4 linked regions of the Lepisosteus oculatus genome follow. The protein of the gene in region 1 purifies or fractionates together with the protein of each later gene. This does not show direct contact. Links are inferred from orthologs where the notes say so. Each region holds a gene or a part of one and is shown on either strand. Other genes may lie near its edges.

Region 1 (7,626 bases):
TCTTCAGAGGTGAACCACTTTGGTTGGCTTTCCAGATAATCCTCAGGTAATGACCCCTGACCAGTAACTCCCAGGCCAATAACTAACTCCGTCCCACTTTCGACAACATCCATCAGCTGAAAATGCCCGGAAGCAGTATGAGGAGCTTGGCGACACACTGAAACCACAGTCAACAGGCTAAAGGACTCCGGAGGGGATCTGTTTTGGTTTTGTTTATATAACAGATGCGCAGTCTACGCATGCTGACGCAGCTACCCACCTGAACTATAACAGAGGTGCGTTGCCGGAGTATTAATCATTTAACTTTCTCAGAGGAAACTGAGCCTAATAAACAGTACGTATTTACACAAGAACAGAGGCAACTGACATTTCGAGAAAAACGCAGGTGTGGAGTCCCCACTACTACAGGGAGACGCCGCCGCCTGAACTGGCCCGTCAATCGCGTCAATGATCCCCTAGAGTCATTTACGGTGCGACACGACCTGGGTGCCTCTTCGGCTTCAGCTCTGCAGCGTGCAAAGCTGCTTTCCCCAAGTGTCCATAACCGGCAGGAAAGCGAGCCAGGACCCCGAGGCACCGTCCGACACTCCGGCCCCTCGCCTTCAAAACAGGGCAGGAACCGGCCGGGAAAATGGATCTCCACCTTCCTCTGCGTTTTCCATTTGTAGCATTCCGGTTCAATGGACACTTGTTATTCCAGCTTCGTCCATGTAAGGTTTGTCTGGATTTGCATAACGTCTGGACACAACTTACAGTATTTCCCCCGTGTCCTTAATTAACTAGAATTCGTTATCCATCACCTGACCAAATGCGGGACTCTGCGCTCAGTAATCGGTAACAAATCAGTAACACTGATGTTGAGGGTGCAAAAATACTTGTCACTAACTGACAAAAACCAAAAAATGCAGAAAGGCAAGACCTTTTACCGTATCTATTATTATTTTCCAGGGATCCCTTGTATCAGTCCTTAAATCAGTAACGTTTATAAGGGGGCAGGCGATGAAAAGCGTGTCGGCAGCAAACTGACCGCAACACGGTGTCAAATGTTTCCAACAGAGTTTTATCCAGGCCAGCCTCAAGACCTCAAGCCTCAAACGAATATTAAAAGAACCCGTCTGGTTTCTCGTCTCCGGAAAAAAATATATGAATTGAAGCTTTTGGGAGGGAATAAAAAAGACTGCCCGTAGCCCATACATGTGTATGTATGTACAGAAGTGCTCTCTTAATTGTGCTGGTGTTGCTGGGTATAAGGTACAGTACTGTAGCTGCACTGAGTCCAGCACCGCACTACAAGCTCATGTATTTGGAGAAACTTCTGACCTGTGTAGCTTCGTGTAGGTTTACATCGCTCATTCAATACAAACGGCCCTATTATTGGGTATATTGAGGACATAAAGAAAAAGAAGAAGAAAATGTGAGCAATTCACACACACCCCCCTATGTGTAAACGTTGCACGAACATCCTCTCTAGTGCAGTGGCTCTTAGCCCGGGCTGCGAGGCATGCCGGGTTTGTGAAGAAGGTAAAACGAGCGGAAAAACACCAACGATTTCTCGGTTTTCGGGGACGGGTGCGGGGGCTCAGAGCCGCGACTCCTTCCCGAGCCCGGCAGGCAGGAGGGCGACGGGTCCGCTCCGCCGGACGGCGTCCAGGAAGTTCAAGCCGAGTTGGGAAATAACGAGTGCCGCCTGGACGAATGGCGACCTCTGCGGCACCCTTTCTAGAATGTGCACGGAATTAACTTCCAACTGTTATGTAATAAGGCCACACACACACACACAAAAACAAAAACAACAACCACCTCACCGACGCTCAGTCACGCCAGTGTTAACCACTACAATCCCGGGCATTTAAAGTCATCCTGAAGCGCTGAACAGCTCAAGCTCGTTTAGAACCAACCTACTGTAGTTGGCTACATTTTTTACTATTTTTTGTCAAAAGAAATGTTTAAGGATACATTATAGCCAGACCGTTTTTTTTGTTTTAAAAAAAAACTGGGCTTATTCCGTTTATCCCACATGTGCCAATTGCCAGCCGTCGCCAAGCCTGGCTGCGGACAAACCTGCGGACCCGCGTCCTTCTCCGCCGGACCTACCTTTGAAGTTTTTAATGACTAGTTTCTTGGAGGCCCCCGGTTTGGAGGCGAGCGTGGAAGTTTTAGTGAGGCCGTTGGTGTGCTCGGCCAGCGCGGAGAAGTTTGCCTTCGTGCTGTGGCGGATGTCTTCTGCCATCGTTACAGATGGAGGGCACGGACAGCGCAAGCGAAGACTTTCCTCCTCTGAACTGGGTGCAAAGTGCCCGAGTAATGGTGTCTCTTAGAGGAAGTCTCTTGGAAAATTGTTAGGCTTGCCGTTATATCATGCATGTGTCCGGTGTCCCGAATGCCCGATCCTTGACAGGTCGCTACAATGGGCTTTTGTCACGTACTCCTCCAACATTACTTCCTCGCCATGAGCCTCCTGGAACCTGTTAGTATGAATTTATTCTCGTATAGGTGCAGCAAGAAGTACGTTGCACTTGACCGACGCGCAAAAAAAAAAAAAGGACAAAAACTATCTACAGTCTGTGGCAGGTACATCCACGACTCCCTGCTTCTCTGTCGCTAAAAAGTTAGTCATTATACCATCGCCAGTTCTTTACGGATGTGGAAACTCCACTCTATAAACTCCACTGAACAATCTCAGCAGCTTCATCTTTGGAAAACAAATACCAACAAAATGGCTTCTTTCTCCACCTCCTAGCCAGTGCATCTTGGGAGGATTTTTTTTTCCTAGTCTGCACTTGACAGTAGTTCAAAAAGAAATTAAAGGGATACAGTTGCACCAGAGAGTTTAGGTCTGGACTTGTAAAACCCCCCGAAACAGTTTTTCCGTATCTTGCAATGCTCCTGCTATATCCTTACAGTCCTTTTAAAAAGGGGGGACACCGCGTTCAGAAGACTTAGAATAACTTACTCATTGGGCATACTGAACACGGACGCGATGCCACCAACTCGGACAATATTGAGGCAAAAAAACGTGATCTGAGCCATTCACACTGGATGACAGCATTAAGATTCGCCGTCACCACACATCATTTGCATTTTGCAAGGCGTCCTAAGCACAAGCAGAACCTTTCATGAATGCATTTTAGACTTCGCATACACCTTACTAAAAATAAAAAAAACGCCCGGCGCTGTACGGCACAATCAGAGTGTTTGAAAGTTACTGTATAATTGTGAATGCTGTGTCTTTAACAGGTAGCGCGGTCATGGACGCTGCCAACAGGAAGCAGATCGTGCGCATGACCTTACGCGCCTGCCTGCTCGCTGCAGGACTGTGCAGCAGCGGTTCACGTCGCGGAGAAGCATCTCTGATGCCGAGACAAAAATAGGACTGGAAGTGCAAAGTACGTGCAGGGTTGTGTTCATGCGAATAGTGAGTACTCCAACTTGAAATTAAAACGCGTCTAGTGACCGTGTAACTGAGGAGGCATCGCTACCGGTGGGGTTTTTTTTTTCTTTTTGGAAACGTCAACGGTTCCAAACGTCGTTGAATGACTTGACGGTATGACTGTGTTGTCGTGCCAAAAACTTGCAAAAAGTCCTGGTTCTGCGAAAGAAAACGCAGCATGCGTTAAAGACGCAAACATATGGATGGCGAAGAACGTTAGGGTAATCCATATTTTACCCACAAGATGATTTTTGTATTTGAAGCCGTGTCCTCCTATCCGTTTAAATCACGCATCTCGTGAATAATTTTGGTTGATGTTATAATTATGTGTCCATGCTTGTCGTCTCACAAAAAAAATAAACTATTTTCCCTCTTTCATTAGGCTTTCCATCACGGAACCAACATCAGCGCAGGAAAGAACAGCTTGAATATCTTCAATGGCACACATAACAATAAATCAGTACCTCCAGCAGGTATTGTGTAATTTACGACCTTACAGCTATTCAAAAATATGTTATGAGGCTTGAATGAGGATAGACTTGTGTTTATCGTGAGATAACTCTGCCTCGACTTTCAGTGTCCTCTTCTGGCTGGATGGCAGGAGAGCTGTAAATGAGTTTTGCATCCTTCGTGCCAGGTACTTGAAGCCACCGACACCAGAGACGGAGCATTCTGTGCTGAGCTTTTGTCATTCAAACACCCCCATGTGGCCAACCCCAGGCTTCAGGTAGGATGTTCTGTACTGTCCCAGTACTGGCCCTCGCAGCTGCCAGGAACCTGCGATGAAACATCAACCTGCTCAGTGGTCACGTTGGCCAAGTCAATGTCAGTGACACGACTGCGTGTGCAGCACCGAGTGAATCAGAGTGAGGGACTGGGGTAGATCTAGTGAGGTGCAAGGGTTCATTGAGCTTCAGAGTTGGGTTAAGGTTAGAGTTGGAGTACTGTACAAGCTAAGACAGGGGTGGGTCCCAGGTGGCCCATTCCTTTAAGGTGCTCGTTAAAATTAACTCGTTAATATATTGTTTTGTTGCAACAGTTTCTCTCTTCCCTCTCTGGGGCTGTTAATGCATTTTACTGTACATAGGTTAATAGGAAGACTCCAAGGTGAGGCTATAGTGCTCTGCAGGATTCAGGATGATCTTGCCCAATGATGTGCATGATCTTGGCCTCTCGTAGTGGCACACACTGCAGGTCTTTTATGTTCATATACCGTATGTGCGTCATGTGTCATGGACAGGCCAACCCTGGTTCTGTTGAGCCTCAGTCCAGCGGGCTTTGTGGGGTATCCTGACAATCTCTGAATGCCTGGAACACATTTGCATTGACTGCTGAAGCTGGGTTTTGTTAAGTACTTCACTGATCAGCTGAAATGGAAATTCAATTGCCCTGCATTCTCATGGGCCACAGCTGGCCATATATTTAACTTACTAAAGAGATCAAAACTCCCTTCACGCACTTGGGAAACTTCTGAATTATACAGGCCAAAATACAGGGGCTTGTGTGGGCTGATGGTACTGTACGTGTCACTGTGCTAATTCTTGATTCTTAGCTCCCCAGCCCCGAGGAGAAGTGCCAGCAGGTCCTTGAACCCCCCCATGATGAAATGGTTGCAGCACATCTGAGGTAAGGCGGGAGGATTTAAGGCCCTGGTACTGTGGTGTATCTAAGTGCCACAGTATCCTAGGGTCTGCCTAATTGCACAGTGACATAGTCAAATTAAAGCTGACCAAGAGGTGGGTTGTCAAAGAAGCTTAGGCAGTCTGTTCATTATTCTGAATTATGCTGGTCATGCAGAAACAAATAGTTTTGAAATTCACAAAATAACGCCCAACAACGTCAGTACAACAGATTTGGAGTTGCTTTCAGTGGGAATGTAGCACAGAATTAAGTATTTGCTTGAGGATGCTGTAATCCTTCTGTTAATCCAGACCTTGTGTCCTTTTCTTTCTCATTCCAGGTGTACATATGCTGTAGCAAATCATGACTTTGTGGAAGCATACAAGTGCCAGACAGTAGTGGTCCAATATCCTTTAATACAGTATGGTTTGCAGTACCTTTCAAATACCTGCAAACTTTTTGAATTAATCTTAGACCATTTGAATGCTATTTACATCAGTGAACAGAACTTTACTGAGAATAAGTACATTAATCCTTTGCTGAAGGATTGATTGAATTAGTTTATCATTTGCATCAGAGAAAGCCCCCAAAAAGCATTGTGGCATCATCAAAATAATGATGCAACCTCATACCGAAAAGCTGCATCAATACAATTCTTTTTAAGCCACGGGATGTTGTCAAAACCTCTTTATGGTATTGTCACGGCCAAATAGCAGTAACAAAGAGCTACCGTATAATTCACTTGGCAGCTCGAGATAAATGTCTTGCATTTTGTGAATGTGGCTGTTCTGTGTGATACAGTAGAAAAATATTCTTCAGAAATGCATTGAATTTGAGCGAAAAGATTTAGACACAGTGTCAAATCTGTACTTTTATAGTGCAGTGATATTTGTGATATGCACTTTAATCCTGGATATTAACAGCTGCTTCTTTTTCCTTAATGTTTTACATCATTTTTAAAAGCATTCCAGGCTCACAAGGAAGAAAACTGGTAAGACCTAGCAAATCTCATCTATACATTTAACACATTTTACAAACGTCTTGATGCCGGCATTATTTGAATAATACATTCTTATTGTTGTAACATTTTTGAATCATCAGTTGCTTGCCAAAATGTAAAATCAGACAACTGATCCAAAGATTTTTCAAACTCAACATACTCAAGATTGTAACTTTGGGCTCACATCATCAGCAGGTATGAGTATCATTCGGTTCTTCTTGAGTTTATTTGAATGATGCAGTTTTCAAAGTTTGGTGCAGTGCTCACGTTTGTGTGCAAGTAAGGATATGCAGTAAAGTAAATCCACGGACAAATAATTGCTTTCTTATGGGAAGGTTTCTCTTGTGAGTCCACTGAGACAGAATGGGCAGTTTCCATTCTCCTGCCTCAGAGCTGGGCTTCATGTGCTCCTTACATCTTTTTCTAGTTTCTCTCCATTATTTCTGTTTTCTGGAGATCCAGACCAAGCAGTAATTGTAGTAGTAACCCTAACCTGAACTCAACTGATGCCATAATCCCCCTCTTACGTTGAGTTCTGTGGCCTTAGTCTTTGGTCTCTTATTTAGCCTGTTTTTTCCAGGGCCCTGCCAATAATGTATGCAGTGGGATTAGACCTCCGCATCTTCGCCAACAATGTAAGTGGTTGTACTGTAAATGTGTTCTTTCGTGATGTGACCGTAGCTGGTGTTCAGTGAAAGCACTCTTTGCAGTCTTCTTCCGTGGGGCAGTGCAGTAGAGGTGAGGAAAGTGTTATCCGCGGTGTTCACTGGGCCAAGAGCAGCATCGAGTGCTCGGGGGAGGGGGGGGCGACTTCTCGGCTGGAAATCTCGCGCCGCAGTCCGCCCGCAGGGAGCAGAAAATGTGTGTGCCTTCCCCAGGCGGAGCAGCAGCTGGCTAAGAAGGGCAAGGGCAAGGTGGGGGACATGCTGGAAAAGGCCGCCGAGCAGCTCATGAGCTGCTTCCGCATCTGTGCCAGCGACAAGTAAGCCCCGCTCGCTGCGCGTCGTTTCCTCGTTTCGTGCTGAAAAGGAGAGCAGACTCCCGCCTGAAGAAGGCTCCGCGGCCGAAGCGCTTTGTCTCTTTCCTTTTTCGGCACGGAATAGACCTTTACTCGTTCCTTTGCAGCCCACGCATGCTGACGCAGCTCCCCAGAACTAGGAACGTGTCTTATTGATTTGTGGGTTTTTGTCTTCTGGTAGCTCTTTTTTCTGCTGTGTGTGGGGGGGAACAGTAGACTTCATATAGCAGTGGTGTGCAGTCTCGGAGCTTTTCTTTCTAGAATTCTCTCTAGAATTGAGCCTTTTCCGATACCCAGGGGCAGCGGTTCCAAGTCCTGGTCCTGGTGACTTTCACACCTGCTGGATTTTATTCCAGTGGAGCCCGCAGTTACACAGTCAAACCCTGCATTGACTTCATCATAGTAAGACCAATGTGAACAGTCTGTTCCCAGCTCTTACACATGTTGGAGCTTTAACCGGTGTGCAGGGTCAGCCAAAATGCTGTCATCAACCTTGACGGTTTATTACAAGTTAATGACTTGGGTTACTGTGACAAAAAAGGTTTCAAACGAAAGCAT
Region 2 (6,935 bases), on another chromosome or scaffold:
GTTCTAAGGCCGAGTTGGTCAATGGTGGCCGAGTGATGTGAACCAGCAGACGTTCGATCTGATGTGATCTGATGTGATCTAAAATACTTTTGGATGAAAGTGCTACAGAATGGTGAGAGAAGTCTTTTGCGGGCTCCGAAGGAGTTCGGGTGTCTCAGACCACACCAGCGCTGTATGCGATTACTCCACAAGAAACTTGAGTTCATCGTCCAACGCAGTGGACTACACCACCAGACCCCCCACCATGGATCGCTGTGGGAATGATGTTTTTCAAATCAACAGTCATTTCTTTTGTTTCTGACACCTTTATAAAATAAGATACGATCACTTTATTGGCCCTATACAATCGCTTGCATTAGGAATTTGTCTTTTCCCAGACCCCAGCTTGTTCTCCATGAGACACACAGACAGGGGAAGAAGCTGGGGGTCAGAGCGCAGGGTCAGCCATTTGTACAGCACCCTTAGAGGGGCTGGGGTGAAGGGCCTGGCAGTAGGATTCCTCTGCCAGCCGTGGGATTCGAACCGGCAGCCTTCCAGTCACAGGCGCAGATCCTGAGCCACAGAGCCACCACACCACCCTTCATCTCCTGGTAAGAAGTATCAGACCAGTTGCCGAATTCATCCGGACTGGGTCTGTGTGCTCATCCAGGCTCTGAGAGGAGGGACACTAGTACACTCTCACCAGCAGGCCTGGTGATGTAATGATTTTCAGAGTTGCTTCGATGGCTACCGCCATCGCTATATAAGAGGAAGAGAAGGGGGAAATAGCACCGCCTGGTGGTGATCCAGCAGAACTACAAATGGAGTCAGAGGCCAAACCATTAACAGATACATTTTGTGTTTTATTGGCCAGAAAACTAACGATGCACATGATCAGCTGATGATCCCATCTGAAACCTGTGATTAGGTTTTCAACCAAAATGTGTGGCTGCATTGTGTGAAAGGCTGATGAGGACACAGCAAACACAAGTCTGGCAGCTGATTTATTCTAAGTGCTTATACAGAATCAATCAAAGGTTCAATCAATCAGTCGGAGTTTATTTATCAAACGCACAACAATACCACGTGCAGCAGTAGTTGCTGGCAGTGAAATGTCTGTTCTACAAGCTCACGGGGGGGGAATCACAAAATTAAAGTTGCAAAATAAGGTGAAATAATGATCGATAACAGTGCACTAGAAATTGAATGAGATAAAGTCAGACAGAGCTCAGTATAGATATCAATGGAGCTGCTCTGTGTCCAGGGTGTGTGCAGTACAGTGTGTCCCAGTAGTGCAGTTATGCTGAATACGGTGAAACTGTGTGTCCCTGTAGCCAGTACAGGTGATTTGCTGAAGGAGCTGCAGCTTGGCTGTTTAGCGGTCTTATTGCCTGGAGGTAGAAGCTGTTCCCTGATCTGTCGGACTTTGACCGAATGCGTAAGAGAAAACAGTTTGTGACTGGGATGACTGGGGTCCTCGAGAATGGACCTGGACTTCTAAAAGAAAAATCTTAGCATCATGGGCTCCCCTTCCAGGACAGCAGGCCAACTGGAGGGGGCCGGGACCTGACTGTACTGCGGCCATGGTATGGGACTGGCCTGCTTCTTCAAGAGTCCTGCTCGCTCATGGAGCCAGAGCTGTTGGCCTCAAGTCAAGTCTAGTCCTCTTAGGAACGGGTACGGGTGTCTAGAGCTTCCGAACAGCCCACTGCCCACCAGACAGCACCAGTGTCTACAGCAGGGGCCCCCAGTCCTGGATTAATAATAATAATAATAATAATAATAATAATAAAATAATTCCTTACACTTATATGGGACAATGTGCAGCTGGATGATGAGACAGCAGCTAGACCAGTGTCTACAGCAGGGGCTCCCAGTCAATTATTATTATTATCATCAACAATAATAATAATCTGTTATTGCTGTAGACTAGTGTCTACAGCAGGGCTCCAAGTCCTGGTAAAAGAACAACAATAATAATAATAATAATAATAATAATAATAATAATAATGTCTCCTGCAGGGGCTCCATCACACCTGAGCTGGACTGGTGTCCTGTCCAGGGTGTGTGTGTGTGTGTGTGTGTGTCCTGTGATGGACTGGTGTCCTGTCCAGGGTGCGTGAGAGTGTGTGTCTGTGTGTGTCCTGTGATGGACTGATGTCCTGTCCAGGGTGCGTGAGAGTGTGTGTCTGTGTGTGTCCTGGGATGGACTGGCGTCCTGTCCAGTGTGTGTGAGAGTGTGTGTGTGTGTGTGTGTCCTGTGATGGACTGGTGTCCTGTCCAGGGTGTGTGAGTGTGTGTCTGTGTGTGTCCTGTGATGGACTGGTGTCCTGTCCAGGGTGTGTGAGAGTGTGTGTGTGTCCTGTGATGGACTGGTGTCCTGTCCAGGATGCGTGAGAGTGTGTCTGTGTGTGTCCTGTGATGGACTGGTATCCTGTCCAGGGTGTGTGAGAGTGTGTGTCTGTGTGTTTCCTGTGATGGACTGGTGTCCTGTCCAGGGTGCGTGAGAGTGTGTGTCTGTGTGTGTCCTGGGATGGACTGGCGTCCTGTCCAGTGTGTGTGTGAGAGTGTGTGTGTGTGTGTGTGTCCTGTGATGGACTGGTGTCCTGTCCAGGGTGTGTGAGAGTGTTTGTCTGTGTGTGTCCTGCAATGGACCCATGTCCTGTCCAGGGTGTGTGAGAGTGTTTGTCTGTGTGTGTCCTGCGATGGACCCATGTCCTGTCCAGGGTGTGTGAGAGTGTGTGTGTGTCTGTGTGTGTCCTGTGGTGGACTGGTGTCCTGTCCAGGGTGTGTGAGAGTGTGTGTCTGTGTGTGTCCTGTGATGGACTGGCGTCCTGTCCAGGGTGTGTGACAGTGTGTGTGTGTGTCCTGTGATGGACTGGCGTCCTGTCCAGGGTGTGTGAGTGTGTGTCTTTGTGTGTCCTGTGATGGACTGGCGTCCTGTCCAGGGTGTGTGACAGTGTGTGTGTGTGTGTGTGTGTGTGTGTGTGTGTCCTGTGATGGACTGGTGTCCTGTCCAGGGTGTGTGAGAGTGTGTGTCTGTGTGTGTCCTGTGGTGGACTGGTGTCCTGTCCAGGGTGTGTGAGTGTGTGTCTGTGTGTGTCGTGTGATGGACTGGTGTCCTGCCCAGGGTGTGTGAGAGTGTGTGTCTGTGTGTGTGTCCTGTGATGGACTGGTGTCCTGTCCAGGGTGTGTGAGAGAGTGTGTCTGTGTGTGTCCTGTGATGGACTGGCGTCCTGTCCAGGGTGTGTGAGAGTGTGTGTCTGTGTGTGTCCTGTGATGGACTGGTGTTCTTCCTTGTGGCCCTTGCCTGCTGCAGCTCTCCCACACGACCCTGTACCTGATAAAGTTGGATGGAACACAAGACAGGTCTCAAACGAGACGAGGCCACTCGGTTCATCCAACCTGTTTGGTAATTAGTTTTGTAATTAGTGGCTCATTAACCCCAAGATCTCATCCAGCTGTTTCTTGAGAGCAGCCAGGGTATCGGCTTCAGGAACATGGCTGGGCAGCTTGTTACACACTCCCACCACTCTTTGTGTAAAGAAGGGAAAACTCATAGGCTTCTCTATTTGTCAGTGTACGAAACTGTCAAACCCCAGAATGTATCAGGTTGCAATATCTATTGCACATTGTCTGATGAATTTAAATTAATTGCACTTATGTATCACATTTCAGTTAACTCTTGAATTTGTTACCAGAAAAGAGGAAAAATAAATTAACTGGACCGTATCCTTCCACTTACTGCGAGGTGACGTCAGGATCAGCCAATCACCGTGTGGGATGCGGTGACAGACGGATTGATGTCACTTCAGAGAGTGACAGTTCTGGAGCTCCGCTTCCACCCGTCGGACGGCCATTTTGGCTCCAGTTTCCAACTGCGCGCTGGCAATCCATGTCAACGAGGAAGCAAAATGGAGCCCTTCGGTGGCTGGGTGTCCTTGGCGATGGGCCGGTCATGTGACCGCGGCGGGGGCAAAGCTCGTCGATGTAAACAACATGGCGACTCGGAGAGAAAAGACCGGGGCCTACCTGGGGATTATTCCTTAACGTAAACTCAAGCAGTGACAATAAAAAAAAACCCAAGCAGTATCGATTCGCTAGTATTGATAAGCCTATTGATTGTTAAAGGAAGAACGTGCAAGACAACAACGCGATCCGCGAACGAAGCCCTAAATACAAATTTCACCAGGTACTGTATTTTCTATTTATCTGTTGAGTTTCTTGTTAAGTGTTCATTGAGCCTTTTTATGATTGTCATTTTCGGAAGGGGATTAATTCACTGAAATAGACGCGAGTCTTCCCGTGTCGTCGGTGTAACATAACGATACATTTAATTTGATTAGATAATTAGCTTGGTTAATTAGTCGAGGAGTATAAGGAAAGCATTTTGACACTGAACAACTGCCGTTTCGATTTTGGCGAGTGAGGAAACTAGACGAATTACTGATTAACCCCTCTCTCCCAGTGCAGTGTTAATGTACTGGAGTGTCCAGTCAGTCAGTGTGTCTGTATGAACCCCTCTCTCTCAGTGCAGTGTTAATGTACTGGAGTGTCCAGTCAGTGTGTCTGTATGAACCCCTCTCTCTCAGTGCAGTGTTAATGTACTGGAGTGTCCAGTCAGTCAGTGTGTCTGTATGAACCCCTCTCTCTCAGTGCAGTGTTAATGTACTGGAGTGTCCAGTCAGTCAATGTGTCTGTATGAACCCCTCTCTCTCAGTGCAGTGTTAATGTACTGGAGTGTCCAGTCAGTGTGTCTGTATGAACCCCTCTCTCTCAGTGCAGTGTTAATGTACTGGAGTGTCCAGTCAGTCAGTGTGTCTGTATGAACCCCTCTCTCTCAGTGCAGTGTTAATGTACTGGAGTGTCCAGTCAGTGTGTCTGTATGAACCCCTCTCTCTCAGTGCAGTGTTAATGTACTGGAGTGTCCAGTCAGTCAGTGTGTCTGTATGAACCCCTCTCTCTCAGTGCAGTGTTAATGTACTGGAGTGTCCAGTCAGTGTGTCTGTATGAACCCCTCTCTCTCAGTGCAGTGTTAATGTACTGGAGTGTCCAGTCAGTCAGTGTGTCTGTATGAACCCCTCTCTCTCAGTGCAGTGTTAATGTACTGGAGTGTCCAGTCAGTGTGTCTGTATGAACCCCTCTCTCTCAGTGCAGTGTTAATGTACTGGAGTGTCCAGTCAGTCAGTGTGTCTGCATGAACCCCTCTCTCTCAGTGCAGTGTTAATGTACTGGAGTGTCCAGTCAGTCAATGTGTCTGTATGAACCCCTCTCTCTCAGTGCAGTGTTAATGTACTGGAGTGTCCAGTCAGTCAGTGTGTCTGTATTAACCCCTCTCTCTCAGTGCAGTGTTAATGTACTGGAGTGTCCAGTCAGTCAGTGTGTCTGTATGAACCCCTCTCTCTCAGTGCAGTGTTAATGTACTGGAGTGTCCAGTCAGTCAGTGTGTCTGTATGAACCCCTCTCTCTCAGTGCAGTGTTAATGTACTGGAGTGTCCAGTCAGTGTGTCTGTATGAACCCCTCTCTCTCAGTGCAGTGTTAATGTACTGGAGTGTCCAGTCAGTGTGTCTGTATGAACCCCTCTCTCTCAGTGCAGTGTTAATGTACTGGAGTGTCCAGTCAGTGTGTCTGTATTAACCCCTCTCTCTCAATGCAGTGTTAATGTACTGGAGTGTCCAGTCAGTGTGTCTGTATTAACCCCTCTCTCTCGGTGCAGTGTTAATGTACTGGAGTGTCCAGTCAGTGTGTCTGTATGAACCCCTCTCTCTCAGTGCAGTGTTAATGTACTGGAGTGTCCAGTTAGTGTGTCTGTATGAACCCCTCTCTCTCAGTACAGTGTTAATGTACTGGAGTGTCCAGTCAGTCAGTGTGTCTGTATGAACCCCTCTCTCTCAGTGCAGTGTTAATGTACTGGAGTGTCCAGTCAGTCAGTGTGTCTGTATGAACCCCTCTCTCTCAGTGCAGTGTTAATGTACTGGAGTGTCCAGTCAGTCAGTGTGTCTGTATGAACCCCTCTCTCTCAGTGCAGTGTTAATGTACTGGAGTGTCCAGTCAGTCAGTGTGTCTGTGTTAATTCCTGTCTTTACCTTTCTCAAAGTGTCGGTCTATGGGCTCTCAGTCCAGTTCTGGGATGTCCGGTCGGGCCTCCAGTGGTGACCCAGACGAGACAGAGCCAGAACGCAGCCAGAACCGGGGCCAGCAAAGCCGCAGACAGGCGAGGAGACAGTTGGACAGAGGGGCAGAGGAGCAGAGCGACAGAGGGTCCGCAGCAGAGGAGGACGTCGACTTAGCGCAAGTGCTGGCGTACCTACTGAGGAGGTAAGAGTGCAGCACTGTGTCTCTCACGGGCTTCCTGCAGGGACACTGAGTCTAGGAGAACAAACTGACACACTGTCCAGACATCCTGACACACTGTCCAGACACTGAGTCTAAGAGAACACACTGACACACTGTACAGACACACTGACACACTGTCCAGACACTGAGTCTAGGAGAACACACTGACACACTGTGTAGACACTCTGACACACTGTCCAGACACTGAGTCTAAGAGAACACACTGACACACTGTACTGACACACTGACACACTGTCCAGAAACTGAGTCTAGGAGAACACACTGACACACTGTCCAGAAACACTGACACACTGACTCACTGTACAGACACACTGACACACTGTACACAGAGTCTAGGAGAACACACTGACACACTGTACAGACACAGAGTCTAGGAGAACACACTGACACACTGTCCAGACACACTGTACACTGAGTCTAGGAAAACACACTGACACACTGTGCAGACACACTGTCCAGACATGCTGACACACTGTACTGACACTGTCAAGGAGAACACACTGACATACTGTGTGGACACACTGTCCAGACACTCTGACACACTGTACTGACACTGAGTCTAGGAGAACACACTGACACACTGTGTGGACACACTGTC
Region 3 (7,385 bases), on another chromosome or scaffold:
TCATCCTTCTGCAAGATGACCTGCACCAGCGGGCCCAGCAGGTTCCAGCCCATGCTCCTCACGATCGCCTGCAAGAGGACAGTTCTCTTCAGGGCCACGCCGCATCGGACGCCTTTTTTAATTCCTCAAATCATTAATTCACCAATATTTCTGATGACGTACCCACCCCATCCTAAATTGCCCTTTCTTACGGCTCCTGACCGGAGACCGACCTGCCCCTGTAGACGCTGTGTGTCTCTCGCTGCCCTGCTGCAGGGGGCTTGGCCTTGTTGGCCAGGCTTTTCCTGGTGGACCGCCTGTCACAGTCATCCGGAAACAGGCCCGAACCGGCAGTGTCTGGGCCTTAATGGGTCCCCTGCACTTCAAACTTGCACATTTACCGGTTCAAACATACGACAGCAGGTGTCGGCACCTCGTTCCCGGGCGCCTCAGGGAGGGCCTGGAACGAATCCCTCTCAGCCCTGCTAAGAAATCCAGCGTCTCCCTGCTATTGTTTCCCCTTCACAAGCTGCAAGCCCACCTGCTACAGCAGCGGCACAGGTTTTAATTCTCTCCTCTGATGTGCAAGATGTTTCCAGAAAACCAAAAATCTTGCTCGTTCAATATAAATCAATCCACTGCCATATGTGACGTTTCTCATTTTTATAAGTGACTTACCATTACAGCCTGGTGTTTTAAGAGACCTCTGATTTGTGCTCTGAAGCAATTGGATTTTGAAAATGTGCCTTTTAAAAGCATCTGCTCCTTTGTGAAAGGCAGACAGCCAGTATTAGAACACCAGGCAGTTTAAATACAAGAAAACCGTTTAACACTGGAGCACCCTTGAAGGACACCAGTGGAGCGAGAAATCAGACACTCTCCTGCAGCTCTCCGCTGGCACCTCAGGATCAACAGCAGGGTGTAACAGCCATGGCGCAGGCTGTGGCTCTCACTGCCAGGCACATGGAACAGTTCTTAAACCCTGCAGCAAAGCCTAGGTGCTGCGCTCTTATGCCTTTCTGTTAGAACCCGAAATCTTCAGGGGACACTACAAGTACCGAGCAGCCATGTGCTTTCCTCCCCTTCAAACTACTTTGGTGGGGACATCTTGAAAGCCTTGCTCCCAGTGCTGTCAGAGCTCTGTTTCGGTATTGCTCGGGAGTTGGACGTAACGTGCACCATTCAGCTCGGCATGTGCAGGCGGACCTTGTTTTTCTCATCCTGCACGACCTCCAGCACTTGTGCCGCGCCCCCTCGCTCCAGACAGGCCCGGCCCGCGCTCTGGAACTGCTCGTAGTCTTCCGGCTTGAAGCTGTCGTCAGCCAGCACCTGCTGCAGACAGGGAGCAGGCAGGGAGGGTGTAAAGCTGGAGGAGCACCAAATTAGCAGCACATCGACTTACGCAGACATAGAAGAGTCATCCCAAATCTTGAAATTAAGAGTTTTGAGAGGTTTCCTTTGGTGGAATTATTGAGTGAATCTTATCAATAGCAGGTACTGAAGCAAACGGCTGGGAAAAGTTTTTAAAAAGTTATTTTCAGCAGTGAAAGCTATTACTACAGAACCGCTTCATTGACGGTACTTACACATCTCTGCAACATGTCATATAGCTGCTCTAAGGCCATCTTCAGCGTCTTGAGGTCCAGGTGCCCCCCTCAGTGCCAGCACCTACAGGGTTTAAAAAGAGACATTTGAAACTCGGGTTCGAACCCGTGACCACAGAGCTCAACGCAAACTTTTAAGCCACATTTGGTCAACGCATGCCAGCTGTCCTGAAATGTGGACAGGCGTGTCATTTGAGGGGGATTGGACGTACATGCTGAACAGTCACAGGTGCCTGAAATACCTCCCAACTCGAACCGTGTCTTTGTGTGAACTGAAATTGAAATGTAAACATCAGACATTTGTAATATGATAACCGCCAGTGATCTTGGACACCCTGATGTGGATTTATGTAATTGTGCGTTTATAACAGGGTACAAGCAGCACAGCCCTATATCTGAGGTTCAGCAGCAATCTCTGGGGGGACGTGTCCCCCAACAACTGCACCTGGGAGGTCACAGGGGTCGCGGGGTCACAGAGAGTCGACTAACCCCACCATACCCGTATTCCCACAGCACTGCCCCTAGTGGATCCCAGTCACACGTTTTAAGCCAAATCATGCCAACGCACGTTAGCTGTCTTGACCTCTGAACTGAGGAGAGTTTCCTATCCTATTCCTTCCGATAGTTTGATAAAAGAAGTACAAGACACCACATTTTAATCAGCGCCGTCTTTCTTTTTCCCTGATATTTGTTAAAAGTTTCTTTACTCTTGCGGGCGATTCCCAGGTAATCTGTCTACAGAAAGCAAAGCCGGTACCGACAAGGTCAGCAGAGAGGTCTTAAACCTCTTACTGTGTTGCCTTCTATTGTGTGCGGATTAATAGGATTTACCGAGCACGGAGCAGCACTGCCTGTCCTAAAGATGGACTAATAGCTGTCCCCGGTGTCCCCGGAAACATCTAGAAAAGAGCAATTATTTGCAAACAGTTACAGACAACAAGTCACTGCACACAACTCACAACGACTGAATATTTAGCAAGATCATCAAGTGGAAAAGCATGATGATCGTAGTTCGCGTCTGGAATGCACGTCAAAGTCTGCGAAAGTCTGCCAACCACGTGGCTATGGGCTAAAAACAGCTGAACGATTTATTTGCGCCTAATTATCCTGGACGATAAAAATATCACGAATGCATGTCGCCACATTTTCATGATGCTGCGCGAAAGACCAAAACAAAGAAGCGCTGTCATGGCAGGGCAACTGTATCAAAACGACAGACCTCTGTCTTTCCCGGACACATGCGTGACTGATGATCTAATTTGACTACCAGCTATTATTACCCATCGTGTAGCAGACAGAGAGCAGAGACACGGTGTTGCTCTGTGCAAGGCGCTGTACTTACAGACAGGCAGGAGCGGCGCGTGTATTTAGGAAGTGCGCGCGCCGGCGCTGGCCCTGTCCGCGAGCCGTAGCGCCCTACGTCACGGGTCAAAGGTGAAGCGGAAGAACAACAAGCATGGAAGAGTGTCGGGGAGCAGCCGGCAGGTCAGCGGGACCTGGAAAGAAAGGTTAGTCGGCTTAATGCAGAGTTTTATTCCCCCCTCCCTCCCCTGTGCTGTTCACCTCTGCCACATCAGGCACTGGGAGCTCAGTGATTAAGAGGGACGGGTTGAAATACTGCCCCGCCCAGTACACCCCCTTCTGGAGCACAGAGTGCGCCGTTTCTCTGTCTGAAGCCGAAGGTATAAATAAGGTTTTCGTTTTTCTGTAGACCACTGTCGAAACACCGAAGCAGAGCACATTCCTGGGTGCGTGAATTGTGCTAGAGGTCTTGTTTCTTACACGTGTTACCCCTCGTAGCGACCTTTGAACTGAGCCTTGGAGTTCAACCTTAAAGGCAGCGTTGCAGCTCCTCCGCGAAAGCCCGCGGGCGCACAGCACGCCCTTCACAGCTGATCCGGACGTGACGCGTACAGTGAACGGTCTTCTGTTCCCTGATTATTGACGGGAACACGTGGCCGTGCTCAGCAGGGCGCGTCCGCGGAGGTGTGAGCGCTTGGCCGGTCCGTTAGCAGTGACCCAATGCGTGTGTTTTGCAGGTCGGACAGCGGTCAAGGCGCAGACAGCCTTGGAAGCTGCTAAAAGGTACTGGACTGCGGGGCTTGTGCAGTGTTGGGACATGACAGCAACGTGAAAAACCCGAAAACTTAAACTGAGCAGAAATGGGACCCATTCTGACAGTCAGTACCTCAAGGGGCTCCTACTTCCTTTCCCTCAGTCTTATGTCCATTGTTCTTCCACGGGCTTCGGTTCAGTGTGAAGTTATTTAGTCTATTTCGTTCATTTCCAGATATAACCATTGCTACATGAAAGCCGCACTCGGTGGCTCAGAAATAGAACCATTTCGTTTCAACCGCACCGTGTTTCACACTGTTTCCCACCCTCCATACCTTGCGATGAAGCGGTCGTACCTGAGCCAGCCTGGGCCTCGGTTTACAGCCCCTTCCTTTGACCCCGCGCAGGAAGGAGGCCCTGAAGGAGGCCGTGAGGAGGAAGCTGCAGCTGGAGCAGAGGGCCCTGCGCCTGGTGGAGGAGCTGCTGGAGGACAGCGTGACGGAGGACTTCCTGCTGGGCTGCGTGGGTGTCCTCCCGGGGGGCCGCGTGCTGCCTCGCTCTGCCCTCGGCTCCCCCTGGGGCCCGGGCTCGCAGCGGACAGGTGCCGCGAGGAGCGTGGGGTTGGAGCAGGGGGCCGCCTCCACGTTCCCGCCCCACGCTGCTCTGGGCGCGAGGGGCGGAGGGAGGGGGAGTGGGGAGCGTGATGGCGCTCAGATCCGAGGTGGCGGGAGGCCGATTCCCGAAGCGGACCGGATGAAAAGATGAGAGTCGCTCGCCTGGGGCCGCAGGGCTTCCGCACCCCGTCTGTTGGCCTCTGTTTAGGCTGACCTTCGCTCTCGGAGAGTGCATCACAGAGGGGAGGTCAGGTTTACCAGCTGCGGCCAACGGACCTGCACTACAGCTGTGGCACAGACGCATCTGGAGCAGTGTGTGTAATGTAGTGCAAAATTGCTGCCCGTCTGCCTAATGGGTCACTATTTATCATTCCAGGCAAAGTCCATTACTCCAGGAAACTACAGAGACGTCGTGGACGAGAGATCTATAGTCAAGCTGTGTGGCTACCCTGTCTGTCAGAACAAACTTGTGAACGTAAGACCTCACACTGCTCAGACACATCTATGAGACATTAAACATTGTCTCTTTTGTTTACCAGAAATGTGTTCGTCTTCTAAAATCCCCTTTTGTCAAATCTCTATATATGTATCTTCTTTTTTCATAATGACAGGTTCCCAAGCAGCAGTACAAAATTTCAACCAGAACGAATAAAGTGTATGACATCACAGAACGGAAGGTAAGGTGCTTTATTTTGTTTTGATTTTTTTAATAAAAAATACTCCGGCAGAATGTTTTGGGTGGCTTTTTGTCATAATCTTTGTGGATTTGACAACTCTAGAACACACAGCGGAGTTCTCTCCTGTGTCCTGTGCTTGAAGAGTGCGTGACGCTCTCTTTGTGCTGTCTTGTGCTCCCCTCTTAGTTCGGAGGTGAAAGACTTTGGATTCTCCAGCAAGAAATGGGAGCAACACCTCTTGTCTCCTTTCACTAAAAGCTGCAGAAAGTATCTGAAAATAAAGGATGATTTTTTTTAAATAAATTGCTATGTAAGTGTGACCTGTGTTTTGATACACAGTTGTTTTTTTTCCCCCCATTCAGTGTTTCTGCAGTAACTTTTGTTACAAAGCATCAAAGTATTTCGAAGGCCAGATCCCCAAGACTCCCCTGTGGTCGCGAGAAGAGGAGAGGTAATGGCAGCAGCACGGTGCAAGAAAGACGTGCTTCTTTATTCCACAGATTTGGGTGGGTGTGGAACCAGCTACCCAGCCATGTCGTTGTGCCAACGCCCCAGTTTCTTTCACGAGGCAGATGGACGGGGTCAATCCCTGTCCAACAGGCAAGATGGGCCGAGTGGCCTCTCATTTGTTACCTTTCAACGGTTTTTAAGAAAGTAACCTTGGCCTTCTCTGGGATCAAGTGACTGACAGAAGGCTCCACTGTGTCTTACTTGTATAGATATGCATCAGCTCTTATTGATAGAGCAGCTTTTTGCTGTTTAATAGCATTTTGTCATCGTCATTGTCAACCACACCACTGATATCGTACTTTTGTTTCCGTTGATCTTCTCTTTTTTTGATCGACGGGTTCTATATCTGTGATCAGTTTGACAAACCTCAAGGCTACCCAAAACCATTACATTGAGAGGTGCAGAATTGTGATGTTATAGTGGAGAGGTTTTTGAAAACTAAGACGAATTCAACAGTGTTTCAGTCAAAGGGCCTTCGTCATAAGGCATCATTTTGTTGCCGGAACAGTTGTGGTACTTTGGGATTTCTTCTGATTTAGGTTATCTGATGGTTTTATGCAAAGAGAACGAGTTTTATACTCATTGATACAGCTTGGTGGCTTACTCTCACAATCCAAGTGAGAGGCCTCGCACACAGACCTCAATGCCTCATCCAAGGTTTGAACCTAGAAATCTTGTTTCAGGAAACTGCAGAGGCTGAAGCCTTGCAGTTATGAGCTCGGATCCATAACTGCTCCTGCAGTTTCAGTTCAAAGCTCATCCTTCTCCTGTTGCAAAGCCAGTTTCCCCTCTGCTGGCATATAAGCTGCCTGGTTTCATGGCTGAACGGAAGTAACTTATTTACCCTTTCCGTTTTGTGTTGTAGCTTCCCAGATGTCACATTAATGAAGCAGGGCGAGAGGTATGTATTTAAGAGCTCGCTTTTGTTCCTGTCAGGGGAGAGGAAGTACTGGGGCGGTCAGAAGAAACATTTTGGTTACCTAGTTATTCTGAGGGCTGCAGTATGAATCTGTATGTCGACTATTTTAACCTGTTACTGTGGAGGTCATACTGGAGAGGCCACTTCCCTGTGTAATGTGAAACGGCGTGAAACGCAACTCCAAAAAGAGATTCAGATGAGTGTACTTTTCAAAATGTTGCAAAACACTGCTGCCTGAACCGACTGTCTGATCGAACAAGGAATGCTCCACTTGTTTTAAAGGGGCTCGGTTGTGCGGTTCTACCGAGACTCCGCGCCGAGCTCTAAAATGGAAACGGCGGCCTGGGCGAAAGTGACGCCTCCGGCCGCACGAACCGGTCCCGCTTTTATCAATCACCTCGGTAATACTGTTCAATACCTCTCGGATTGCTCGGCGACGCTGTCGGCACTGCCGGAAATCGCGAGCTTTCAGTGGCGTCCGACTTGGTCGATATTTTTGCGTTTCTTTGCGGCATACTGTCAAGAGTTTAGTTCCTCATAAACATGAGCAGCGTGAACAGATCTCACACAGGGCAGATATTTACGCACATGGCCGCGAAATGGTGCGAAACTCGGAGGGACATGACCCGTTCCCCCAGCCGCCGTCCCCGTTTCGAAGGGAGCTACCAGTCAGTGAGCTGGGGGGGAACAAACAACGAATAAATGAAGAAAAACTGCGTTTGGAGCAGAGGAGAATCGCAGAGTATTGAGTTACTGCGATGCGCCCTGCCGCCGGAACGTGACGAGGTGCCTCAGCTGCTGAGCTGGCCCGGGCGTCCGTGTAACACTATATCGACAGCAAGCACGGGCTTCCTGTGGCGCCCCGCTTGTACACAAAGCCGATTTTGCTTTTTTTGATCGGGGAGCTTTCGGATACGCGTCCAGATTTGCCGGTGAATGGGAGGAGAGGCGTGTTTGAACTGTTGGATTGAGCGGGCGGCGCTCCGCGCTATTGCCCAGCGATGACAGCCCGCGGCGGCCAAACCGC
Region 4 (7,167 bases), on another chromosome or scaffold:
GCTCTGAAAAGAGAAAACATGATATTCAGCATCACGACACGTTAGCACCAAACTGAAAAATAGGCTTTCAATCTTTGTAAGCAATCCTCTGACACAGTGCTCTGGAGTTTTAAGCCACTTTGAATGAAATCAAAGAAGGATCCAAAATACTGATCTGTGTATCACTTAAGAACAAGTTTGTATTACAGTTTCCTTTAATAAAAATTGCACACAAAAGGAGGCTACTAAATTAAATCAAATCCCTACCTTAGGGTTCTATCCCCCAAAACTTAAAAAAAAATCAAATCTTCCAACTGGGGCACTTTTTATAAAACAGATTTGCAATCCAATCCAATTACATTTCACATAAAACTTGTTGCAAAGCAATTAGCTGTGGACACTGTTTTGCCTCCCAACAATAAAAAGAAAAAAATCTGTTTATCACAGCCTTTAAAAATCACTTAAAAATAAGTGCCTGGAACAAAAAAAAATAAATAACAGTTGCATCTCCCCAAAAGCACTATTATGTTTATTTGACATCTCTACTTTCTTGGCTAACCAGTTCGCACAATGATTTATAACCTCTGAAGGTTCACAAGTACGCACCCAGATGCAATGTGAATACTTTCGTAGTACCTTACTGGCGAACCTTACTTTGCAAGCACGCACGGAGCGGTCTGTGAGCGAAAGTGCTCGCTGCCGTTCTCAGATTGGAACAGGTACAGAAGCAAGAAAACTGGGCCAACCCCTTCACCAGTCAAAGCCTCTCTTGCTGACGTGTTACTACTGTTGTTCAGTGCAGGCGCTTGTTTACAGATACGAGGGGAGCTCACTCTCGGAGGGCAACAGCGCTCTTGAGTTAACACGTCAGATCTGTTTGCTTTTAACCCCTTTTTTACACGTTTGCGTCTGTGTTTCAAGTGATCGTGAGCTGAAATGTCTCCAGCGTCCGTCCCGTCCCCCCCACAACCCACCCCCGGCCATCCTTTCTGAATGGATGATATAAAAGCGGCGCAGCAAATTTTAACCCGCTCCCTCCCACAGCGAGAACACACGAAGCCCCCCTGGACAACACCACTGTTTCTCCACCAACAAAATCCAAGACAATATTAAATTTAACGCCCTAAGTTTTCTATGCCTGCATTAGGTTTTTGGCCTGTTCTTCTTCAGGATGAGACTCGCCTAGCACTAAAAACCCAGAGATGAATTTAATTCGACTGCACCTGCTGTGTATTAACCATTCCCCGAAAACTACGAAAAACGTTTTTTTTTGGGGGAAAAAAAACAGCCCCGTAACAGTTTTAAAGGCATATTTCAAATGTATTTATTTTAACTACAAACTGTACTACAGCACTGTTGTTTAGCGACGGCCGACGAGAAACATACACTAATGCACTAATGAAATCAACCATAACGTCCTGACCAATTTAGAGACAACGCGACTAGATTTTCCAGAAAATGACAGTTCAGGGAAACATAAAGCTTTTTTTTAAAGCGGCGCGGTAGTGAGTTACGTCTGCGAAAACGTTTATAGTTTTTTACAAGACATTAAAATGACGAGAAGGTACCTTAAAATCTTCACTTCTGTTGCCTGGGGTTGGATTTACTGGGCGTTTGTTCCTCTGACCTCGTTACATTAGGGCTCAGGGCAACTTCATCCACGGTAGTATTGGCCCTTTTATTTTGCGATGAGTCCGCTACAAAAAGGAAAGACAAAATTCACCGATTAGCATTTCTTATTTATTTTTTTAACAGAACCATTTGAGAGGCGGGCAGGCGGTATTTTGGTCCGCCGTCTCAAAATTGGACGCCCGCACGCCACCGCAGGATTTGCATGCCGTAGTAAAAAAGCCTTTCAAAAACAGCAAGGGTGGGAGGTGGGGGGGGGATGTGACGGTGTCACAACTACGTGTGCATTTAAACCTCCAAAAATGAAAAACAAAATACGAAAAACAGCCGGACATGCGATACGTGCCTGCGCTCGGGTCGCCCCCGAAACGCACGCAACTCCACTCGCCTCTCGGAAACACTCCGACGCGGCTCCGATTAGCGCGACATCAAATAAGATACAAGACGAAAACAAAAGAAAACCTCCTCGAATGCGCGCAACGCCTTTCACTTTAAAAACAAAAAATTAAAATCTGGACTTTTTTTTCCCGAAACCGTGAGATCGGCGACCCAAAATAAATACACCCGATATCTTTTTTTTTGCTGTTGTTGTTATTGTTGTTTTGTTTTCTCGTAAACGTGAAGCTGATCTCTACCATGGCTTGCTGATCTTTTCCTCGGCGTAGTGCGCTGGTCCCTGCAATCCGTTTGACTTGCCGGTTTCTCCGCACTGTCCCCGGAAAGCCTGTCCCCAGTGCCTTCGTGACACGCAGTCCCCCCACAGCTGTGATTCCCATTAAGATCCAAACTGATATTCCCAGACGGACAGATGCCCTTCGACGCCCGTGACGGCTTCGTGTAGAATCGCGGTACCTCCGTATCCTCCACAATTTCCCACACGTATCTCCCAGGCGAAAGGGGCTTGTGATTCGCGAAATCGAAATTGTATGTCGCCTTGGACGCCTCTTCCATCTCCTGCAAGTGTCCCTTTAAATCTCTCCTTAACTCTTCGTGATCCACCAGCCCGAAGAGGTTTCTGCAAGCCGACGGCTTGGGGTGATCCGACGGTCTCGCATCCATCCTCTCCAACGTCGGGCTACCATTTGAAAGACGGACATTTGACATTTTTTTTGTCCTCTCTCTCCACGCCAGGGGGAAAAAAAAAACAACAAGAGTAAATGAAAATATATATATATAATTCTGTTCGCCTCCTTCAAATCGATCCGACACGAACGCCAAATATTATTGCAAGCAACAACGCCAGCGCAGGCATGCCGTGATCTGAAAAAGACGTGCGAAAACTGTAACGCGAGCAAAAGTAATCTCCGCAGACCATCAAAACAAAGTGCAGTTGCAAAAGCCACTCCTGTCAATTTAGTCTTGTAGTAAGACGGGGGGGAAAAAAAAAACAGACAAGCCTTTTCAGTACCCAATATGGCGATTGAAGGGAGGCTGACTGAGAAAAAAAATGATTGACACCGAGATCGACTTAAACAGAGAAGGAGATTCATTGGTTAAAGCAAAGCGAGACGCCCACGTTTCTTAAGGTGAGCACCGCTGTTTTTCGTTTCTACGGTCTCTGCAGCTTCGTATCATTAAAAAAAAAAAGCCCAAATGCATCGGAATCTCTTGTTCGTTTGGAAAAATTCCTCCGCGGCGATCTTTAAATCCGCAGATTTCTGATCGGCCCAGCTTTGGTAGGCTTGTTTTGTTTTGGCGGAAGTAGGAATTGTAGCCGGAGGAAGCAAAGTCGCTTCCAGATACCAACAACGTTAATACAGAAGAAAAAAAAAAGGGCAATATCTCCCACTGACCTACAGTACTCTGGAGACGTGAAAGAATAAATGACCCTAATCTCAAGCCGTTTTTTTTTTCTCATGACTTGGCATTAGCAAAGGCTTATAGGTGTTAAACGTGAATAAATTCCGCAGGCGTGCACCACGTTGCATTTTGTAGCAAAACAAGGCGCCCGAAAGGCGATTGGAAACGGGTGGTTTGGGATAACTCCCCTAGTCCACCTTAATGCGTTTTGTTGCTTTTGAAAACTGGGGGCTGCGTGTCTGCAGCAACCTTGCTATGATCTAAAGTGTTTTGTTTACGTATAAGCAAGTCACTCCCCGAGCAGAGAGAGTGATACAGGCGAAGGAATAGTAACCACGAAACGAAAAAGAAAAAGGTATAGAGAGGGTTGAGCGCCATCATACTATGGGTTGGGTAGACGGGGCAGTTATTAGTAGGCTGTTAGCTTGACTGCCACATTTTAGGGTCGATTTAAAGGGGTACGGCTGAACTGTAGTAATGCAATGTTTATGGTGCCGTGCCAATGTACAGTAGGATGCGGTGGAAATGATCATTTTTACTTTTCCTTTATTAGTCCACTACTAATTGACGAAAACCTTGCTCAATAAACGATTTGGCGGAGTCACGTTTCCCGTGGCAAGTAAAAATCTCGGGCAATGCAATAATTGAACATGATTAATTGTGCTGTTTTGTGTAATAAAATTGACTTTTTAGTCTAAACCTGTTACTGAGTGTATCACGGCAGCAAACAACGCGTTGTTCCGTTTTACCATATGAGTAAATAATGAGCTTCATTAAGAACTTGGCGCTCATAAAGCATTTGGTTCACGCTTCCCGTTAAAAGATCCCTTGGATAATAAATGTACTATATTCAGAGAATGGTCTACTATCACTCTTTAAAACTACCGTGTTCTAACACTTTCTCCCATAACTAAAAAAATAAATACATTTAGTAAAAAATTATTTTGGAAAGGGGGGAAAAACTTTGCAAAGACTTCAGGAAAGTCAAAGGTCTAGAATTAGGAACAAATGTTTCCAATTTCGAATCTGTTCTGCGTGTTGAATGTTAGAGTGATTTGGTTTCTCTTCTTATTTCTGTTTCATGCTTATTTAGATTATGTACCATGATAATTAAATACTGCTGTTAAAAGTTTATGATGTCACTTACATATTTTTTATTGCAGTGATACTACTGGCACTGTTGACTTGAGGTCTGTCACGTTTAAAGAGTGGATGATGGTAGCAATTTAAAGCTGTGTCAGTAAGTAATTGACCTTAGGAGTACAGGTTCAAATAAAATGAAGAGACCCTTTGGCACGTGTTTATAAATTTACATTTAGAACATGTTTTATGTCATGTTGCAGTTGTGATGTCTTTTCAAGGGTATATTCCAGAATACAGAAAAAAAAAACTGATTATGGGATTAATTTAAAGCTTTTAACACACCAAATAATGAAACAGTTAAAATGTTAAATCTGTTTTGGAGCTGTTAAGAATGTGGTGTGAGACTGTGATGTAAAGTAACCAAATTTTTCTATCTGTTAGAAGTATAAACAGTGTGTAGGCACATCACTTGATAAAACTTTGTGTAGGTGGATTTAAATATATTGAGATTGTAGCACCAGCTCTTGTTAATAGGTGGTATTCCAGTTTTACCAGAATTTACAATATTGTGGACATATTTTACACCTAAATAAATGTTTCTGTTCTTACTTTAAAACTGCAGGACCTGCTGCACATCCAGTTATATGAAAAATATATTTGTACACTTTACCATTTAACAAGAATCTGGCCTTCAGTATCGTTCAGTTCAAAAGGTCAATGTCGCTGGCACAGGAAATGGAACAATGATTCAGTCGTGTGCAAATGCATTGTTAGTTTGAGAGCTAGGGATAAGGTTAGCTTTAGGACAGTTGTTTTAGTTACAGATTAGTGGTGCCAATAATGAGCATTAATATACTGTAGCTACAGTGCTGCATCAATAACATTTTACGCTACTGAACAGCAGTAATTCTCAGTGGGAATATTACATAAGGGTACAACAGAGAATTAGAATCTAACTTAATGAAATAAGTGGTACAAAGTAAAGTAAGTGGCACAAAAAGCAAAACAATAAATTTAGAGCAAAGTGGGATTTGCCTTTGCAGAATATACAGAATATACATACTATACTTCAACTGGTTCACAGTACATCACCATAAAATTAGAAACCAGAACTAATTTTCGATGTGATTTCAGGGCTGGAGTTTGGTGTTTGTAGGCCCTAGGCACTTTCACTCCAAAAAGATGGATAAATGCCAATTGAAGGACGCCGACTGACATGACAGTACTTTAAACTATTCTGATGCTAAACCACGTGATTGATGGAGCGAGTCGAGAGAACAGCCGCTAGATAGAGTATGACTATTGATTTGGAGCACCTCGAGTCGAGCACAAGCGTGTTGTTTCAGCTCGTTTTTCGTTAGTCACTAGTGTTTCCCTCTTTCGTAGGCCCTAAAAATGTTTCGTAGGCCCTGTGCCTACAGTGCCTAATGGGAGATCCGGCACTGATGTGATTTTGTTACAATAGGCAGAGTTAGCTTTGCTATGCTATGTATGTGCTCAACTCTTGCACAAAGCCCTCGTCATACTTGGCACTGTCTTATCACTGTCAGATTAAACTTTGCTACAGTAAATACTTTTTTATATTGGCATATTCCTCCATAATGATGGCACACAGTAGGCATTGTGCGTGTTGTTTACTCAAAGAGTTTACAAGGTCATAAAGTTGACGTGCAGAAGAACATGTGAGATGAGGTAATGCCCTGGGGGGAAAGAATGCTGATCATGCTGAATTGATCTTTTAGGAGCAAGGAAATGCAGGCAAATATCGATTTGCTTTTTTCTCAACAACATGTCTTTTACGGGCACATTATTTGTTGTAGGCTACAGTTCAATAGGCTGTGTTAAGAGTTGCATTTCTAGCTTCGGCATTATAATCTCTTGACCATAGGCTGTCATAACATGTCTTGTTCTGTATTATTTACTCCTTGGATGCAGTTTGACCTTTTAATGTTTTTTGTTTGTTTGTTTTCTGCACAATAGATTATTTTAGAAATTAGAATAAAGGTCTTGTAAAACCCAGCCATCCGTTTGCTTCATCCAGTACAGGGTTATATTTTGGATGGGACAAAGGTTCATTATAAGGCACAGACAGACACACACTCGCACCATTTTCCCCTGAAGCCAGTTAACCTACCAGCATGTCTTTGGACTTTGGAAAGAAACCCAAGTGAACATGGGGAGAACATGCAAACTCCACACAGACAGCACCCCAGGAATTAAACCCAGGGTCCCAGCACTGCGAGGCAGCAGTGCTAACCACTGTACCACTGTGTTGCCTGCATCTACAATATATAATTATGTTTGTTTATCATAATAAAAGTCTCACTGTATTGTAAATATAGAATAACATTTGGTCAGCTTTTACCAAAGTACACAGTTGTAAACGATGAGTGCATTTCATATCGCAAATTAAACAAAACGGTATGGAAATTACCCCCCAAGAAAATAAGCTATAAATTTGTCTGCTCCGACATGTTTTCTTAAGGGGAAAGAATTTAAAGTGTGCCTTATTGTGCCTGGGAGTGGATTCTATAGACAGTACCAAAGAAATGAAAACATTGATCGTTATATATATATAACTGAAAGTTTAGGGTAAATCAGAATATTAAACATTTTTCAAATGTACCATCGTGCCTCAACGTGACTGTTCAGTGTGCAAAGCATAAATGCAATAAA

The links.
Region 2: the proteins of cul4a (region 1) and dcaf11 purify together in Homo sapiens (affinity purification with mass spectrometry; 13 studies listed by BioGRID and IntAct, counting the BioPlex papers as one, with this or other methods). This does not show direct contact. The link is inferred for Lepisosteus oculatus from reciprocal best matches to the Homo sapiens genes CUL4A and DCAF11.
Region 3: the proteins of cul4a (region 1) and glmna purify together in Homo sapiens (affinity purification with mass spectrometry; 5 studies listed by BioGRID and IntAct, counting the BioPlex papers as one, with this or other methods). This does not show direct contact. The link is inferred for Lepisosteus oculatus from reciprocal best matches to the Homo sapiens genes CUL4A and GLMN.
Region 4: the proteins of cul4a (region 1) and cdkn1bb purify together in Homo sapiens (affinity purification with western blotting; 5 studies listed by BioGRID, with this or other methods). This does not show direct contact. The link is inferred for Lepisosteus oculatus from reciprocal best matches to the Homo sapiens genes CUL4A and CDKN1B.

What each region holds. Positions count from the first base shown.
Region 1 is NC_090710.1:28,725,035-28,732,660, reverse strand, and holds the start of cul4a (cullin-4A), read right to left. Parts: upstream 3,004-7,626; 5' UTR 2,231-3,003; coding exon 2,095-2,230; intron 1-2,094. Other genes in the region: pcid2 (PCI domain-containing protein 2), read left to right, coding at 3,868-3,903, 4,068-4,157, 4,983-5,056, 5,391-5,458, 6,002-6,041, 6,631-6,685, 6,929-7,032. UniProt on the Homo sapiens protein: Core component of multiple cullin-RING-based E3 ubiquitin-protein ligase complexes which mediate the ubiquitination of target proteins. As a scaffold protein may contribute to catalysis through positioning of the substrate and the ubiquitin-conjugating enzyme.
Region 2 is NC_090699.1:14,359,653-14,366,587, forward strand, and holds the start of dcaf11 (DDB1- and CUL4-associated factor 11), read left to right. Parts: upstream 1-3,935; 5' UTR 3,936-4,171; intron 4,172-6,077; 5' UTR 6,078-6,086; coding exon 6,087-6,298; intron 6,299-6,935. UniProt on the Homo sapiens protein: May function as a substrate receptor for CUL4-DDB1 E3 ubiquitin-protein ligase complex.
Region 3 is NC_090704.1:1,685,420-1,692,804, forward strand, and holds the start of glmna (glomulin, FKBP associated protein a), read right to left. Parts: upstream 3,014-7,385; 5' UTR 2,926-3,013; intron 2,925-2,925; exon of another isoform or gene 2,864-2,924; intron 2,564-2,863; exon of another isoform or gene 2,543-2,563; intron 1,648-2,542; 5' UTR 1,605-1,647; coding exon 1,566-1,604; intron 1,312-1,565; coding exon 1,186-1,311; intron 69-1,185; coding exon 1-68. Other genes in the region: putative RNA polymerase II subunit B1 CTD phosphatase rpap2, read left to right, coding at 3,040-3,091, 3,623-3,668, 4,046-4,160, 4,629-4,727, 4,864-4,929, 5,292-5,380, 6,305-6,340.
Region 4 is NC_090702.1:5,914,513-5,921,679, reverse strand, and holds the start of cdkn1bb (cyclin dependent kinase inhibitor 1Bb), read right to left. Parts: upstream 3,015-7,167; 5' UTR 2,713-3,014; coding exon 2,244-2,712; intron 1,677-2,243; coding exon 1,558-1,676; 3' UTR 1,548-1,557; intron 4-1,547; 3' UTR 1-3. UniProt on the Homo sapiens protein: Important regulator of cell cycle progression. Inhibits the kinase activity of CDK2 bound to cyclin A, but has little inhibitory activity on CDK2 bound to SPDYA. Involved in G1 arrest. Potent inhibitor of cyclin E- and cyclin A-CDK2 complexes.